4 linked regions of the Schizosaccharomyces pombe genome follow. The protein of the gene in region 2 purifies or fractionates together with the protein of the main gene of each other region. This does not show direct contact. Each region holds a gene or a part of one and is shown on either strand. Other genes may lie near its edges.

Region 1 (4,123 bases), 1.2 Mb from region 2:
ACTCTAAGGAACAATCTCGAGGTGTTGGGTTTGCTCGTATGCAAGATCGTAAAACGGCTGAAGACATAATTAATAAATTTAATAACTTTGTCTTGGATCCTGCTTTACCCCCATTACAAATCCGTTTTGCTGATTCCACTGATCAGAAGAAGTTTAAAGGTCAGACTCAGAAAAGAAGATTATGGCGTGCTCGTGAATACAGTGTTTTAACTAAGGGAATGACAGCTAATAATGCTTTTTCCAAAGTTGAGGAGTTCGCAAATAACTCTATGCCCTCTAAAGTTGGAATGTATGTGCCATTGGAGTCGAACACAGTCTATCAACATTCACCCACTTATGATACTTACGGTTGGCAAAGTATGTATCCCTCTTATTCCGTTTATCCCTCAAACTATGAAAACAGCAGAAGTACTACGCCATATCATGCCCATCCCGCTACTTCTGCTGCTAATTAAATTTAAACATCTTTCCAGCATTTACTTGAACATCAAACTCTAATATCGAAATCTTTTCAAACACTTATCACATACTCAAACTTAAACCAACATAAAACCTGTTAGACAAAGCTTACAATTAAGGGCCAAAGCTTTCTTTCTATGTTTTTTCTTTTATTTATTATCAGGTTATATAACAAAGGTCAAACCACTACAGTATTAATGAATGATATTATACATATTTGCTTAATCGTATAAAAAGAGAGAGGTATAAATAGTCCTTGAGTGTTCAAGATAATTGCACACTGTGAATTAAGAGGATAAAAGGGATGCAAAATTCTCCTTGATTATCCAACCATCAGATACTGATTTTCCTTTACGCACAGCGACTTTTCCAAGAGTTTCGCTGATAATATTTTTGGTTACGTAAGGAAACATGTGCCTCAAATTCTCGATCAGGAATACTTTGTTGTCATGAGAGTTACGGACATATTCTATAAATTTGGGTATATCTTCAGAAGGAAACCTTACTTGTAAATCATCAGAAAGTGAACTGGTAGGTCCAATTGTCATTCCACTAGACGCTGGAGCAGTATCTTGAGAAGCCCATAAATCCTCTTTAGGATCAATTTGGAGATATGTAGATGCTGAAAATGAACTAATGGGTTCAATTAAAGATAAGCAATTAAAGTCAGGAAGAAACTTTGAATCCCAAACCGGACCTTCTACGATTACCTCTAATGGGCCGGAGGAACGATGGGTATTAGAAGCATTGACACTATCCTTGTCATCATCCTCATCATCCACAAAAGCATTATCACCATCCTCTACAATATCATCGGAATTATCTACCTCTTCATCTTCACTTTCTAAATCTTCTCCATCATCTTCCTCATCAGCTACCCATTCTGCTTCTGAATCATATGTGTAGTCTATGTCTTCATCTTCAAGCCAGGGATTCAATAAAACGTTAGAACCATGGGAATGGGTTTTCGTGTAAGATCCAAAATATGGAGGGCGAACATCCTGATAAAAGAAAATGAATTTAATAGGAATCTGTGATAAACAAGATAAAATTTCTTGAGGTTTTGAAACAGATGGATCTTGATATGCGCTCATTAATTGTCGAACCTCGTTTTCGGAATTTCTATTACTAACACCTAAACTGTTTGCGGAGCTTACAGCATCTGATGGTGTAAAAATGTCGTTTAGCTTTAAAGGATAAGATTTAGAGGTTGAGAGGACTTCATCCAAAAAAGAATCAGATTCGTTCGGAGATGGATATTTGGAAAGGGACATCTGATGCTTTATAAAAAAAGGGCGAAACTCTTTCTCAAACTCATTCAGTTCATCCGTTTTGTCAGCTACAAAATTTTCGTTTGGCGCGATTCGTTTCTCAACTCCTTTGGTGAAAAAGTTGTTTAACTTCAATTGTTGTCTTTCCTTATTAAGGATTTGTTCTTGACGAAGGCGCTGTGCTTCTTCTTTCTCACGAAGCTTTTGATCCCTCTCCTCCTTCCGCCTTTGTTGTTCCTGCAATCGAATCCGCTCCTTCTCTAATTTCTCTAATTCTTTCATTTTCTTAGCGGCGATTTTTTCCTGTTCTCTTAGCTTTTTCTCTTGCTCTCGTTGTTGACGTTCCTTTTCACGTTTTAAACGCTCTGCTTCTTTTTGTCGAATCCTTTCCTCTTGGGCCCGCTGTTTTTGAAGCTTCTTTTCTTTACCCGCTTCAGCAGAGCCATTATAAATTCTTTTCTTTCTATTACCCTCATAACTTAATTTGCAAACGTACTCATCAGCTTCACTTGCAGAGTGACTGGAATGAATAACCGATTCATTCGGGGAACTCACTGATAAAGACGTAATGTCAGTGGAAGAGCTACATAACTCATTTCCCTTATTACTAGTAGAGGCCGCGACATCTGAATCAACACTTTCACTATTCATAGACAATGCTGCGAATATCAATAACAAGCCTAAGGGAGGCTAAAAACCGTGCGTAAGTTGTTTTAACGGACGCTCTGATCGAATAAAGAGGATAAAGGAGAGTTCGTAAATTATATGTTAATATTCTATTATATACATCACTATCCCAAATCTGTCTCACCAATCTATTATTCATCCATCTTAACGCTTATATAATTGAATAATTTAATTCCTTAGTTCTAACAAGATATGTACTGATTGATCTGAGTAGCTTAAACATCAAAGTTTTTTGCGAATGGGTTAATATGGTGATTTGTTATATATTTTACCTGACTACGATTATATAATATTACTGCTACATTGCATTACGATATTAATGTTAATATTTTATGGCTCATCTATATTATGATTGAGTTAATATCAGTTGACGAGAATTTTCTTTGAAATTATTTGCCATATTTTTTAACTGGTGATTGGAGTACCACAAATTCATTAATAATGAAACAAACGGATGTTGTTATCATCAATTTTCTTCCTATTTATATGCAGCAAACTTCTTTCAATAACGATGCATCGTACATATATAGGCAGGGGCTATGCAGCTTAGAATAGTAATTCGCTGGAAGGATAATATCATAATAACGAGGTTCTTGTTACAGTGAATATCAAGTTGCACTATATATTATATCGTGGATTTCTGAAACTTTATGAGATGTAATCGTAATGAGTAGGTAACAATATCTAATCAAGTAAAGACGCGTACGCGAGTTTCATACACACCTTGTACATTCCTTTTACCAAGTTTTCCTAATGGGACGTTTACTAAGACTGGAAGTTGAAAACTTTAAGTCTTATCGAGGACATCAAATTATAGGTCCTTTTGAGGACTTTACCTCGATTATCGGTCCTAATGGAGCCGGAAAATCGAATTTAATGGATGCCATTTCTTTTGTTTTAGGGGTCAAGTCTTCTCATTTACGATCAACTAATGTTAAAGAACTGATCTATCGGGGGAAAATACTGCAAAGAGATAATACAGATTTCACTGATTCTAGTAATCCTACTACAGCATATGTGAAACTTATGTATGAGTTGGATAATGGGGAGCAAAGAGAGTATAAACGCGCAATCACTCCTTCTGGTGCTACTGAATACAAAATTGATGAAGAAATAGTTACGTTTTCTGAATACTGCGGATCTCTCCAAAAGGAGAATATTCTTGTTCGAGCTCGAAATTTCTTAGTTTTTCAAGGTGATGTTGAAACCATTGCTTCGCAATCTCCTTTAGAACTTTCAAAGCTTGTTGAACAAATAAGTGGCTCTCTGGAATATAAATCTGAGTACGATAAATCTAAAGACGAGCAGGACAAGGCTGTAAATTTATCTGCTCATTCGTTTAACAAGAAACGTGGTATCAACGCTGAGTTACGCCAATATCAAGAACAGAAAACTGAAGCCGAGCGTTATCAAAGTCAAAAAGAAAAACGAGACTCTGCGCAGTTAGTTTACCTTTTATGGAAACTCTTTCATCTAGAGAAAAGTATTAGTTCTAATATGGCAGAGGTTACTCGATTAAAGGCAGATTCCATTCAACTTATCGAAAGGCGAGATGAGAACACTAAAGAGATAGAAAAGTTGAAAGAAAAAGAGGGCAGTATACGAAGAAACCTTCTTGCATTCGATAGAAAAGTTCGAAAACAAGAAAAGTTGATTGCTTCGAAACGTCCAGAGCTCATTTCAATTGCCGAGAAAGCCCTAGAGTC
Region 2 (3,224 bases):
TCACAATGTCTCAAAATGTATCTGTCAAACACACAAAGAATTCAAGGACAATAAACTGTTGCAGGACAGGCAGAGCATTGTACCGTGTTCTATCAACGGCGCTTTTAGGGCAACTTGTGAAACGGCTAAAGTGTGTTGAAGACAAAATCAAGTGAAAGAGCAAGTATTAAAAAAGGGTAAATAAAAATAAAAGAAAGAAAAGTTATTTTAATTTAAAAACTAACGAACAAAAACCTTTTAAGTAAATAAGAAAAGTATAATTCAGTAGTGTAAAAATCTAATAAACACTGTTTCAATGTACTAATAATCTGTGTATATACTTTCTATTTCATATTATTAATATCATAGAGCAAAAATGGTGGCATTTTTATTGAAAATCGCTGCATATGTTCCTGTTGTTCATCGCTTTTATTAATCACGTATGTTAACAGACTGAACGGAAAAGAGCAGAAGCTTGTTTAATTTGATTTGAACTTCCGCAATTGCATAATTGCCACATTTCTCTATCTGACATTGCTCTCTTTATTATTATTTGATTGTTTCATTTGCTTGGCTATGGAAGTTCATAAATTAGTAGGAGGACGTGGGCTATTTCGAGATGAAAGCGAAATTTCACTCTTTACGCTTCTCAATTCCGACAGAGTGATAAAACGGTTTGCCAAATGCCCGTCTATCGCTATTGGCGACAGTGTACCAAAGACATCCAGTTTTGCTTCACCTACCGATACACTAAGATACTCAGCTGAAAAATTTGCTTCGAGAATCCGCTTTTCCTTAAAATACAGTCACATCGTTTATCAAAAATTATAGCCACAATACGTGAGTAATAAATTCACGCACAGATGAGTTTCCCTGTTGGGAAAAGAAGACAGCTTGCTTTCAGTACATTTACCTTACAATCAGCTTGTAGAGTTCTCTTTGTATAATATAAATAGATGGGTTCGTGCCCAATTTTTTCTCAAATTGAAGCCTACAATATATTAGCATAGTTATGATATGACTCCAACCTTCCAAACATACATTAATGAAACGTGATAACTACAGGCTAAATTTGTGTGTTTTCTTGTCCTCCCCCCCATAAATGTTAGATAAAAACAATTTATTTATTTATTTCTAAAAACAGAGCTTACTCCCAGAGTAAGTCAGACACAAGGTTGGGTAAAAATTTCTCAGACGTGCAATCCATAATGAAAGAAAAACAAATCCCTTCAATAAAATTGCATTTCTTCAAGGAAAACCAACCATTTTCGTGCAAATAAATATTCATTGAATGGATATTAAAAGAGAAATGAGTAAAGATAAAAAGAGAAACAACTATTAATATGCAAAGTAGGAAAAAAAGAAAAAGAAAATACAATTCACTTCAATATCGAAAAGTGTGCAACCAGTTTAACCACCGAAACCATAAATGGTACGGCCTTGACGCTTCAAAGAGTAGACAACGTCCAAGGAAGTGACAGTCTTACGCTTGGCGTGTTCAGTGTAGGTAACTGCATCACGGATAACGTTTTCCAAGAAAAGCTTGAGAACGGCACGAGTCTCTTCGTAAACCAAAGCAGAAATACGCTTAACACCGCCACGACGAGCAAGACGACGAATGGCAGGCTTAGTAATACCTTGAATGTTATCACGAAGGATCTTACGATGGCGCTTAGCACCACCCTTTCCCAATCCTTTACCACCTTTTCCACGACCAGACATCTTATATGAGTAATGGGATTCCTGTAAGTTCAAACAAACTGACTACCAATTGATCAATTTACAATATCAAAAACTAATTTTCAAGCGCAAACACTGAAATTCCTATGATTTGAATTTCAATGGCTTCTCGTACTAGTCGTAGTAGTTACTGTGTAAGTGCTGTAGTTAGGCGTCCATCTCCATATATATATACATTTTTTCAGGTAGCGGGGAAGCCGAAATCGCAATCTTAAATCAGGGTTAGGGTTGTGATTGACTGAGGTATATATAGCAGGAAGTGTCCACACCCGACGTGGAAAGAACCTTTTTGTAAGTTTATTTACCGAATTACGTTATGGCTCGTACCAAGCAAACTGCTCGTAAATCTACCGGTGGTAAGGCACCCCGTAAGCAATTGGCCTCTAAGGCTGCCCGTAAGGCCGCTCCCGCTACTGGCGGTGTCAAGAAGCCTCATCGTTATCGTCCTGGTACTGTCGCTCTTCGTGAAATCCGTCGTTACCAAAAGTCTACTGAATTGTTGATTCGCAAACTTCCCTTCCAACGTTTGGTCCGTGAAATTGCCCAAGATTTTAAGACTGACTTGCGTTTCCAATCCTCCGCAATTGGTGCTCTTCAAGAAGCTGTCGAGGCTTATCTTGTCTCTCTCTTCGAAGATACCAATCTTTGCGCTATCCATGGCAAGCGTGTTACCATTCAACCCAAGGATATGCAATTGGCCCGTCGTCTTCGTGGCGAACGCTCTTAAATGCATTGATTGCCTAATATTTTATTTGGTATATTGTGTTTATTGGGTTTAAGTTTTGCATTTCCTAATTTTTTCAATCATTGTCATGTATATTTCCTTGGTTTAATGTCGGGTTTAGCATATTAATTTTTATGTTTTTGCTTTCTCACTTGACTTATTCTGAAACACTGTTTTAAAGCTTTGTAGTTTTTAATTTTTTTTCCTTTGTTAATCTGTTTTTATTAATTTAAATAGTTTTTTTTTTATTATACGTATTTCATTTTTGTAAATTTTTCATTGTAAGAAAAAAATTTTTTTTTTAAATTTGTTTGACCGCCTGCTACTGTAAGTCGTAGTACTTGCTTTGAACATCTTATGGAGCATTACTCTCCTAACGATTTGGTAAAGTCCTTTTAAAATTATCAAGTGAAGCGTTCACTTCCTGCTTAAAGTTTTTTTTTTTTTTTTTTAAGTATTCCACACGTACTTGTAATGTGTTGCAGGATTATTGATGCTACTGTTACACGAATTTTCGACTATGTATTAAACTTTTCAAAGCAATGACTATTATATTATACATATCTAAAGGTTTATCAATATACTCTCAACTCATTTCAAATGGTTAGATAAAAAAAAAGAGAACTAACTCTCTCCGTCAATCGTAAATGTCAACGGGTATTAGGAGGTATAGGCCGCAGAAACTTGGAAAATCGAGATATGGGAGTCTTTAGTTCCTGCTTCCAGCGATTTTCAAAATTTACAGACTCATCAGTGAATTCATCATTTTGCATTGGCAAAG
Region 3 (4,196 bases), on a different chromosome or scaffold from region 2:
TTAAAGTAATCCAGTCATTCGTCCAAAAACTTTTCTGAGAATTCGCAGTTTTAACAGCGTTCTTACGCATCTATCCAAACGAACCTTATTTTTTTTTCTTCTTCATCGAACGAATCATACAAAAAACATCAAAAAAAGCGATTAATCAATTCAATGGTGCATCAACAACTCTTTCTGTACAAGTGTTGCTTCATAAAGAGGGTTAAACGACTTTACTTCTTGGGAACAGTCTGACGATTCTGAAAGGCCATCATGCTGCCGATGTATTGGCACAGATACTCGCTTTCTCGACTAATGTTTTCAGATTCCTGTTTGTTTTGATCGATCTCATCCAACAAAGCTATCAATTGTTAGTCTTTTCTTTCTCCAAAACGCACCGCCATCGTACCTTGCAATTGCTGTTGCAATTCCATCGCTTTCCTATCAATTTAGCAAAGAACTAGCAAAACCACTTACTGCTCCATCAAACTTCTTGGCAAGGAATCTGTACTCATTGAGTAATGCGCTTTTTTTGTTTTTTTGCGGAAAATGGGAGGTTGGGAAGTGTCTTACCAGCGTAGCGTCAATACATGTCATTTCCCATTGCTGTGACTTAGGGGTGTCACTCAATTTAAAGAGGCCACTGCAAGAGACATTATCCTTAATTGAGTTGAGTATTGCTATACGCAATATTTAAATAGCGTTTTATGTCATAATACGTTTTATTAGCGAACGGATTACATTGGAGTACGCAACTGATGGGTCTTGCAATAAACAAATATACATAGGGCGAAAACTAGAATGAGTGCTGCTGTCTTTTGGATGAATAAGTTAAATATGGAACATACTAATAATGGATCCACACATTAATAAACTGGAAAAAGATCCCGTCCCGTAAGGATAAATCGAGGAGAGAAAGCTTGCGTCTGTGCCCTAATTATGTTTTGAAAAACATGAAATGCACACTTCATACACCAGGATGCGAAAGTCTTTCAACAATTTACATGGGAAAAAAAGAAAATAATAATCTAATAGAACTCCGTTCCAAAATATGGAACGTTGGTACAAATGATGCGTTTAGGGCGATTGGAAGAGGCATACAATAGATGCTTCTTCCCTCCATTATGCAACGGAAAGGTCGACGGTTCAAAAATGAATTTAAATAAAAGATGTGTTATGAAAAATGCTTTATGGTAACAGGAAAAAAAATGCTATTCCTCTTTTCCCATTCCATAGTTTTTATTCTCACACTATCACCAGTCATGAATATTTTACATCGAAAAAATAACGGGTAGAGCGATATATATGCGCAAACTAAAAGAGAGTATACAAAAAAGTAATCATGTTCTTTATCGGATTAGTTCTTGTCAATATTAGTATTAGCATTCAAAAAATAGTCCGATTATCATTTTACTGAGACGTCTCTGGTTTCTCCTCAGGTTTCTCTTCCGCAGCTGAAGCATTTGCAAGAGCCGACTCTTCTTCTTCTTCCTCTATATCAATTTCTTCTTCTTCTTCTTCTTCCGATCCTTTCCCATCATTTTCTCCTTCTCCATCACCATCACCTTCTCCATCACCGTCTCCATCGTCTTCCTCCTCCTCCTCCTCATCGCCTTCTCCCTCTTCATCGAATTCTTCCTCCATTTCATCAGCTTCCTCCTCTTCTTCCTCTTCGTCCGCGTCAGGCTGAACTGGTGGAGCATCGTCAAAGTCGGGATTATCCCACTGAATGTTGAATCGAGTCACCCTTGGCTTTTCTGCTAAAATACTGCGCCAGACTTTAGAAATGTCAACCTTGACCTTTTTAATTTCTGCATCGTCCATTTCCTGAAGGTTCAGGCCCTCCATCTCATTGTTGACATAATAACCTACTCGAACAAACTCATTATCCTCATATGCACAAGAGAGTAAAATAACTGTGACACCCAAAACATCGCTGAGTTGAGGTAAAAGATCGATATTAGGAGGATCAGCTTCAAAAACGAATTTATTAATCCCGATTGGTATAGGTCCCACTAGTAGCGTGTCCAAAATTTGGTCGTAACTTTGAGACGTCGCACTACCTACATATGTCAACTTCCATTCCAGGTCGCTTTTTAACGGCTCCAGACATTCAAAGGTAATTTCGAATTTATATGGATCAGAGAACTTTGCCGGATTATTTAGCACATTAACACTAAGGATATTCACGATTGACATTTCGAAGTGAAACGCGTCTAAGCGATTGCCAAGAACAGCGTAGGTGAAGAAAGGTTTCGTAGAGTTCGGATAATTAAGGATACGCTTGACTATTTTATATCGCTTTTCGTGCTCTAAGGTAATAACACCTATTTGATTCAAACATATAAGGATTAAAATGCAGTAAATATAAATACTGAAGGCACATCTAAACAATGCCTCACTATTCGGTAAACAATAGAAAACATAACCATTGTTAAGTATTTTATGCGAAAGTACGAAGAACTTACAGAGCAGTTTAGTTAAACATAACCGTTGTTTAATAAAAATTTCTATTTCATTAATAATGCATGCAATGTACAATTAATATGATCATCAAATTTCATTGTGCAAAAACAACTCGTATGTGAAACATAAAAAATAGACATAACCTCCTTCATCTCTAATTATTAAAAAAGATATACAAGCGGATTAAAACATATATTTAGGGTTATTGTAAGTTCCTTCGATCATTCGGTTATATAATATTGATGCAGCTTAACAGCAAATCCGAATGACTTGTTAATGATGTGAATTTCCATCAGTATGGAATTGTAGTACCATCATAGTTGAAAAAAAATCCATTATTTTCGGGCTTCAAATTGTCTACAACTTTCAACATATCTGAAGCGCTTTGGTCTGGTGCCAAGGCCTGTTTCGCAAAGATATCTAAAATTTCCGGTTTCGCTTCAGCATGCTGATTTACAGCTTCCTGAGCTGAATCGGTTCGAACCATTCCGGGATGAATTGAAATCACTATGAATCCTTCATCTTGTAGCTCAAAACTAATTTCCTTCATTGTAAAATTTAAAGCAGCCTTGGATTGGCCATAACCAGATTGGTTAAATGGGAAGAAAGCACCCATGGATCCAACTAATGATGAAGTAAAAACAATGATTTTAGATTCTCCTTTCTTCACAAGAGGATAAAAGGCTTGGTAGACATGAATTGGTCCTAAAACATTGGTTTTATAGTGAGAGTTCCAGACATCATCAGGAGTATTCAGAACAGTGTTGAAAGAATGAAAAATGCCCGAATTTACCCAAAGAACATCTACTTTACCTACAGCTTTTGCAACTTCTTGAGCGGCTTCATTAGCACTCTCTAGAGAGGAGATATCTAACTTAATAATATGCACATTGGAATGAGACTTGCTCCATTCTTGTAATTCAGTAGCAGCTTCAGGCTTGCGGGCACTTGCAAATACAACTGTTCCTTCTCTGTTGCTCAATTCCTTAACAAGAGAGAGTCCAATGCCTCGATTTCCTCCTGCAATAAAGTAAATTTTGTTGGTAGTAGACATATTCTAACACAATATTTGAATGATCCTTGAATCCGTTTGAAAAGTGTAATTTGGTGTCGGCAATTTATCATTAACTTCGTGCTTATATACCAATTCTTCAAATCATTATGCTTACGTGATTTGAACCGTGAATTTTGATGCTTACATAATTGAATATACTTCCAAAATCAGCAGGTTCATAGTAGTTCACGTAGAGCGTTAGGTGATATTTTGCCATATAATATGGATATTGCAACTAATCTTTATAACCCGTTCCATTGGTTTGTCAGCTGCTTCCTTGATACTGCTTGCATACTGAATAGTATTCCTTTAAATGCACCTTTCTTTTAATTTCCTTGATAAAGTATCATAAAGGGAGAATTTATTTGAAAATTGTTTAATTGATAATGCTGAGACATTGGCCATAGGAGAAAAGCGTTGAATCAGGATACAAAAAAACAACTCTTTTAAACCTTGAAGTCCTTTCACAATAAAAATTATTAAACAAAAAAAACATAGAAATAGAATAATTTTAAGATAAAATATAAGTTTGCAACCGATTTAAGCATTGCTGTATGAACACTTGAATTTTTTATATGCGACGCCCTTCTTTATATATCCAAAGGTTGAATAAAACGTATCAAGATCTAAAACTGCTGAACAATCCAAGTGGCACCTTGGACTCGCTCAAACTTTTTATGCTCGTAAACATTTGTAA
Region 4 (6,055 bases), on a different chromosome or scaffold from region 2:
TAGTTGATGCCCTTTGGGCCATTTCCTATTTATCTGATGGCGCTAATGAGAAGATCCAAGCCATCATTGATGCAGGGATTCCTCGTAGGCTTGTTGAACTTTTAATGCATCCTAGCGCTCAAGTACAGACTCCTGCTCTCCGATCCGTAGGAAATATTGTTACAGGAGATGACGTTCAGACCCAGGTCATCATTAATTGTGGTGCTTTAAGTGCTTTACTTTCTTTGTTAAGCAGTCCACGCGATGGCGTTCGTAAGGAAGCCTGTTGGACAATTAGTAATATAACGGCCGGTAATTCTTCTCAAATTCAATATGTTATTGAAGCTAACATTATTCCTCCTTTAATTCATCTCCTTACGACCGCTGACTTTAAAATCCAAAAGGAAGCCTGCTGGGCCATTTCCAATGCCACATCCGGTGGCGCTCGTCGTCCCGACCAAATTCGCTACCTTGTAGAGCAAGGCGCAATCAAACCTTTATGTAATTTGCTGGCTTGTCAAGATAACAAGATTATCCAGGTTGCTTTAGATGGTATTGAAAATATTTTGCGAGTGGGTGAACTTGATCGCGCGAATAACCCTGATAAAATCAATTTATACGCCGTCTACGTTGAGGATGCTGGTGGTATGGATTTGATCCACGAATGTCAGAACTCATCTAATTCGGAAATTTACCAAAAAGCTTACAATATTATCGAAAAGTTTTTCGGTGAAGAAGACGAAATCGAAGAGCTTGAACCAGAAACCGTCGGTGATACGTTTACATTTGGAACTACACAAGAGCCTGCCGGCGATTTTCAATTTTCGGCGACTAATGCCGAAGATATGGCTATGTAATGATACTTCACATACATTATTCATTTATGCTTGTTTAGGTTTCGTTCTTTTTTAGATTGTTCATTTTCATAAACATCGAAGTGGCTTCATGATTTTGGCTGTGGTCCTGTGGTTTATAATATCGTTAAATTATTTCATTGAGCAATTGAGGATGCCGATTTTTTCATTTACCTTTACGTGTATGGCGCGATTGTTATTAGACGAGATTATTACATTTTAGGAGGTTTACCTAGACATACATTCCGCAGTTGTCACTCTTCTCATTTTGTTATATTGTTGTTTAATGATTGTGCTGGAAAGTTGAACATCTTGTACTTGTTAAATTATTTCTCAAGTCCGTCCTGAGTGTGCGTGTCGAAACGAACTTTTGTTTACTTTTTTTCATTCACTTTCTAACCAACGAATGGTTTATAGATCGTGGTTATTTTGTGAGTTTATTATTTGTTTTATTGACGAAACACAGGAATCATTCAACAGTTTTGGTCTTTGTTGTCGATTTAGTTGTAGCTTTTGGCTGCTCCACTACTAGATACAGGTTTTGTACCTTTGAAACAACATGGGACTAATTCAATTAATTTATTTTACATTGTCTTCATGATTGTACTTCCTCTATTGCTTAACTTTTATTTGAGGTTTTAGGAAGTTCAATATTTCCACCGCATTTGTCATCCTCTTTTCAACTTTTTTCTAATGAGACAGCTGATTCATCATTGTATTCATAACTTTGACCATCGCATCGAAAGAGGAAAATGAAATCAGATTTGTCTTGTTGATATGCATAGTTTCCTTTGAATAGCCATGAAAATGTAGCCTTATTCTTCTTTCACGATGCTCCATACTTTAGAGTTGGAGCTTTAATATTATTATATGTAACAATATTAGTACCAAACTATGATACATTACTTTGTGCTAGCAAAAATCTTCTAGTTAAATTTTGAATTTATTAACAAAGATCATAAGGCTGACATTAAAGACAATAATTGAATCTTCCTTACTCAATATAATATCTAAACCTAGTCATCTCGAAAAATTTGTAACCAGTGAACCTTCCATTTATTAAAGTCTGCTATACTACTTAACGACATTTTACGCAATATAACGACATTGTTCAATTACAGTAAACTCGTGTGCCCTAGCAATCTACAAAAAGTAAACATTACCCATATACGCCTTGCGAGGCGACCTTCCCTATCCTATGCATTTGGAAGTATCTGATATTGTCTAAAGACAATAACCAGAAGTTTTAAAAAAATTAATTTTATAGTTTTAAGGATCGGAAGTCGAAATTTGGTATCTAAATTTCACTTGTTGAAGCTTGCTCAGAATGAAACCGATAACGTCTTCTTCTAAACGCCGATGGAATCGGTTTCGAAGGGAAATGTGTAATTACTCTAAACGACTTGACACTTTCCAGAAAAAAAAATGGCCGCGAGCCAAACCGACGCCAGAAACTGTATGTTGACGATAGAGTTTTCATCTGTGTTGCTAACAAGAAAATAGCTTGCTACTGTCGGTTTCTATTACAATCCAATCTCTGAATCTAATTCTGAAGAAAGACTTGATAATGTTACATGCTATATGTGTACCAAGTCATTTTATGACTGGGAGGATGATGATGATCCATTGAAAGAGCATATTACTCATAGCCCCAGCTGTCCATGGGCATATATTTTATCCTCAAAAAACAATCCAAACCAGAACCCCCAAGCTGCAGCTCTCACAAAATGTCGAGAACAAACTTTTGTTGATAAAGTATGGCCGTATACCAATCGCCCTGATTATCACTGTGAGCCGAGTGTAATGGCTGCTTCTGGTTTTGTATACAATCCAACTGCTGATGCTAAAGATGCAGCTCATTGCTTATATTGTGATATTAATCTTCATGATTGGGAACCGGATGATGACCCTTACACCGAGCACAAACGCCGTCGTGCGGACTGTGTGTTTTTTACATGGAAAGACCCAAATAGCTTATCTCCTACTAAACTGTCTTTTTTATCTACGTCGAACATTGACCCTGAAGACTTGACCGAGGATAATTCCATTCTTCCCGTTTCTCCCACCCGAGATTCAACAAAATCTCATAAAACTTTAAATTTCTCCCCTAGTAGAAAGAATAATCTTAATGCACGTCCTTTAACAATGTCCCTTTATACTAATACCTCTGAGGAGAAAGACTCACAACCCACCCGTGCACCACAAAGTCCAACGAAGCCCGTTTTACTTACGGCTCCAAGGCGAAAAAATAAATCTCCAAAAAAATCAAAGCCAGCAGTCTTTAAACCTGTTAAGCCAATTTTTTCTGATGAAGACGAAGATGACGACGACTTGACCGCCTCTCAACCCTTCTCTAAAGGGATATGTAATGACTCTATGCAAGTAGCCAAAAAGAATTTTACAGAAGAAATTCCACTTAAAGAAGATGAAAAAGATAATGAGCTGGAACATCTTGTATCACCAGCTACATCCGTCCACACAACTGTTTCTGACATAACTGGACATCAATCTGTAACTGATGAAAGTGATGAGCAAAATAATTGTATGTCTACGCCGCCGAAAATTGAAATCGAATCAAAAATTGAAGAAGAAATATCTGTGGTTTCCAAATCAAAGGAAATTTCGTCTTCTGTTTCTTCTGTTGGTAAAGAGCAAAATCATACAGAAAAACAAGTTGCTATCGAAACTCCGGAACAGCAGAAGGTTGAAAAAGAAGATGAGCATTTAAATCTTCAAGGTTCGTTCATAGAGGAGTCCACAAAACAACCAATCTCTTCAAAGCCATCAACTTCATCTCCCGATATGACTGATGCTGCAACAGGAGGTAGAGTGTCTTCTTCAAGCTTCAGAGATAAAATATTACAAACCAATTTTTCACCAAGGAGTACAATAGATTCGTTTAGCAACATTTCAAAAAAGAGAAACTCGGAAGAAGCAAATGATGAAAATGACGAGACCAATTTGAAAATACCAATTCCTGAAAAGAAGAGAAAATTTCAAGAAGTTTTACAATCTAAAAACATTTTAGTTTCGTCTACTGAGGATTCACATGAACCAGTAAAAGTTACAGAGGACAGCCAAACTGCCATTCACGTTAGTAAATTTGAGGATCTTGAGAATAAGAGTATGGAGTCTGAACAGTCACTACAATTGCTTTCTGAATCTGAAAATGATGACAAACCTTTAATTGATCTAATTCCTCTCTTAGCAATTAAAAGGAAGGATAATCTTGTAAGCGGAGTTTTAGAGAAGGGAAAAAGTACCTCAACATCAAAAACAAAGTTTGATACATCAATAGTGGACTTTATAGAAAAACCAAAAACTGAAATTAGCGAAGTGCTTCCTGAGGAAAAAAGAAAGGCCATTTGCGATGAGTCCCAAACGGTTAGAGTTTCTATAGATAGAGGAGTGACCAAGACGAGAGACGTATCAAGTCCTGTTTCCGATGAAAAAAGTGAAAATGTTAATCATGAGGAAGCTAATTCTGGTCATACTGTCATGAATGTTCATTCAAGCCTGGATCCCCAGCCGATCGTACAACCCAATGAACTTGAATCAGGAAGTTACTTAAAGGATCTTCCTGACAGAAACGTCGGAAACTCCGAAAAAGTGACATTTCAAGAAGATGACATTAATTCTCCTAAGCTACAGAGCAAGAACAATCAAACCGTTGAAGCTGTTAATACAGAAACTTCTGATAAATTGCAAGAAAAGGAGGCCAACCATGAATTAGAAAATATTGAAAAGATTGAAGAAAAATTGACTGAGGTAGACAAAGTCTCGTTAAGTGATGCTTTTCCTGATCAAGAAATCAAAAATTCTAGGACTTCTGTACAGAATGGTACTAGATCAGTGTCGAAAAATACACCTGAGAAGGAAACGAAGGTAGATAAAATCGATAATGTAAGTAAAAAGGATGTTGAAACTTCACCTGGTTCTTGTGAAACCTCTTCAGCTTTCGCTAAAACTTACGCTGAGAAAGAAGTAACGAGTATAAATTTGCCAAGTGTCCGGAAGCCTTTAGATGAATCCTACTATGACCATTCGATCAGTCCATTTGATCCATTGTGCCAATCTTCATTTTTGGCTCCTCAAACTCCTGTCAAATCAAAACATGCTTTGCCCTTAGTTGAAGCAAATGCACCACCATGGGAACCCATAGATTTCTCGAGTCTATTAGAATCTCCAGTACCGAATCCTGTAGAGCCAAACAAACTAAGTGAAAAAGAACTGGATATGACCGTTGAGCAGTGGATTAAATTTATGTATGCTAAATGTGCAAAAGAGTTTGAAGAAGCCTGTGAAGAAAAAATAGAATGGTTACTGGAAGAAGGTAAGCGGGCGGAAGAATACATACAAAACTTATAATTTTACATATTGTGTTTCTGTATTTATGGACCGTCTCGCTTTAAGCGAAAATGTTGGCGGGCTACATTTTAAAGTAATGTGAACTAAATTTGTCTGAATGCACTGTCAGCGTCCTTTTCTTTCTTTTTCTTTTATGTTTCTTGTTTTGTTAATCGGATCCTCTTATTATCTGTATTTATATCAACACTACGCTAATCTGGTGATGTAGTCTTAATAATTCTTCTTATAGTATTTATTTTTTTGGCAGCACAATATACAAATATGGTACTATATTTGAGTCAATATGAATAGAATGAATTAAACAACAAGATAGTGAAAGTAAAGTATAACGAACGTTGAAAAGAACCGGAAGCATTACCCATACTACTCAGCTTCGACCTTAATTTCAACAGAAGATGAACCACCAATTACAACCCTAAATGTACCAATAGCATCTTCTTGAAATACCGCTTCACCCAGTTTAGTATGTCCAAGCAAGTTGGAAGTAACGGCTGAAATTCGAAGTTCGTCACCCAAACTCCATTTGACCGGAATCTCTTCGTTCCATGAGGGAGACGGGCCTTTCCGAGATTTGGTTTTAAAGCTGTGGTCTTGATTGTCTGTAACGATAATCTTTATAGTCTTATGAGGCATATTTTTACCTTGACCAACGTATACTTTATACTTTTTCTGTGCCAATTCAGGTGCTCCCGTAGTCTTGTCAATAGTGCTAGTTAAGGCAGCGTTTGCAGACTCAGGTGCAATAGCCGGTGGCACAGAAGCAGAAGAAGAAGCTTCCTGGGTTGTCGTGAGATCAGAGCGAGATGGATTCTTTTCCAAGGAACGCCTAAACATGCCCATTTTGGAAATTCCTT

The links.
Region 1: the proteins of hht2 (region 2) and pcf1 purify together in Schizosaccharomyces pombe (affinity purification with western blotting, with the first as the bait; one study listed by BioGRID). This does not show direct contact.
Region 3: the proteins of hht2 (region 2) and asf1 purify together in Schizosaccharomyces pombe (affinity purification with western blotting; 3 studies listed by BioGRID, with this or other methods). This does not show direct contact.
Region 4: the proteins of hht2 (region 2) and bir1 purify together in Schizosaccharomyces pombe (affinity purification with western blotting, with the first as the bait; one study listed by BioGRID). This does not show direct contact.

The regions. Positions count from the first base shown.
Region 1 is NC_003423.3:2,537,573-2,541,695, forward strand, and holds pcf1 (histone H3-H4 chaperone, CAF assembly factor (CAF-1) complex subunit A Pcf1), read right to left. Parts: upstream 2,413-4,123; 5' UTR 2,382-2,412; coding exon 747-2,381; 3' UTR 556-746; downstream 1-555. Other genes in the region: spo5 (meiotic RNA-binding protein 1), read left to right, coding at 1-455; psm1 (mitotic/meiotic cohesin complex ATPase subunit Psm1/Smc1), read left to right, coding at 3,171-4,123. UniProt on the Schizosaccharomyces pombe protein: Acts as a component of the histone chaperone complex chromatin assembly factor 1 (CAF-1), which assembles histone octamers onto DNA during replication and repair.
Region 2 is NC_003423.3:1,363,123-1,366,346, forward strand, and holds hht2 (histone H3 h3.2), read left to right. Parts: upstream 1-1,996; 5' UTR 1,997-2,035; coding exon 2,036-2,446; 3' UTR 2,447-2,696; downstream 2,697-3,224. Other genes in the region: hhf2 (histone H4 h4.2), read right to left, coding at 1,390-1,701; protein Sfi1, read right to left, coding at 3,094-3,224. UniProt on the Schizosaccharomyces pombe protein: Core component of nucleosome. Nucleosomes wrap and compact DNA into chromatin, limiting DNA accessibility to the cellular machineries which require DNA as a template.
Region 3 is NC_003421.2:1,642,378-1,646,573, forward strand, and holds asf1 (histone H3-H4 chaperone Asf1), read right to left. Parts: upstream 2,208-4,196; 5' UTR 2,179-2,207; coding exon 1,390-2,178; 3' UTR 525-1,389; downstream 1-524. Other genes in the region: SPOM_SPCC663.18 (GTPAse-interacting protein), read right to left, coding at 213-340, 389-420, 457-494; osr1 (dehydrogenase), read right to left, coding at 2,738-3,499. UniProt on the Schizosaccharomyces pombe protein: Histone chaperone that facilitates histone deposition and histone exchange and removal during nucleosome assembly and disassembly.
Region 4 is NC_003421.2:545,254-551,308, reverse strand, and holds bir1 (survivin Bir1), read left to right. Parts: upstream 1-2,009; 5' UTR 2,010-2,160; coding exon 2,161-2,289; exon of another isoform or gene 2,290-2,336; coding exon 2,337-5,201; 3' UTR 5,202-5,504; downstream 5,505-6,055. Other genes in the region: importin alpha family nuclear import signal receptor adaptor Cut15, read left to right, coding at 1-836; tricalbin, C2 domain protein (phospholipid binding) ER-plasma membrane tethering protein Tcb1, read right to left, coding at 5,565-6,055. UniProt on the Schizosaccharomyces pombe protein: Component of the chromosomal passenger complex (CPC), a complex that acts as a key regulator of chromosome segregation and cytokinesis.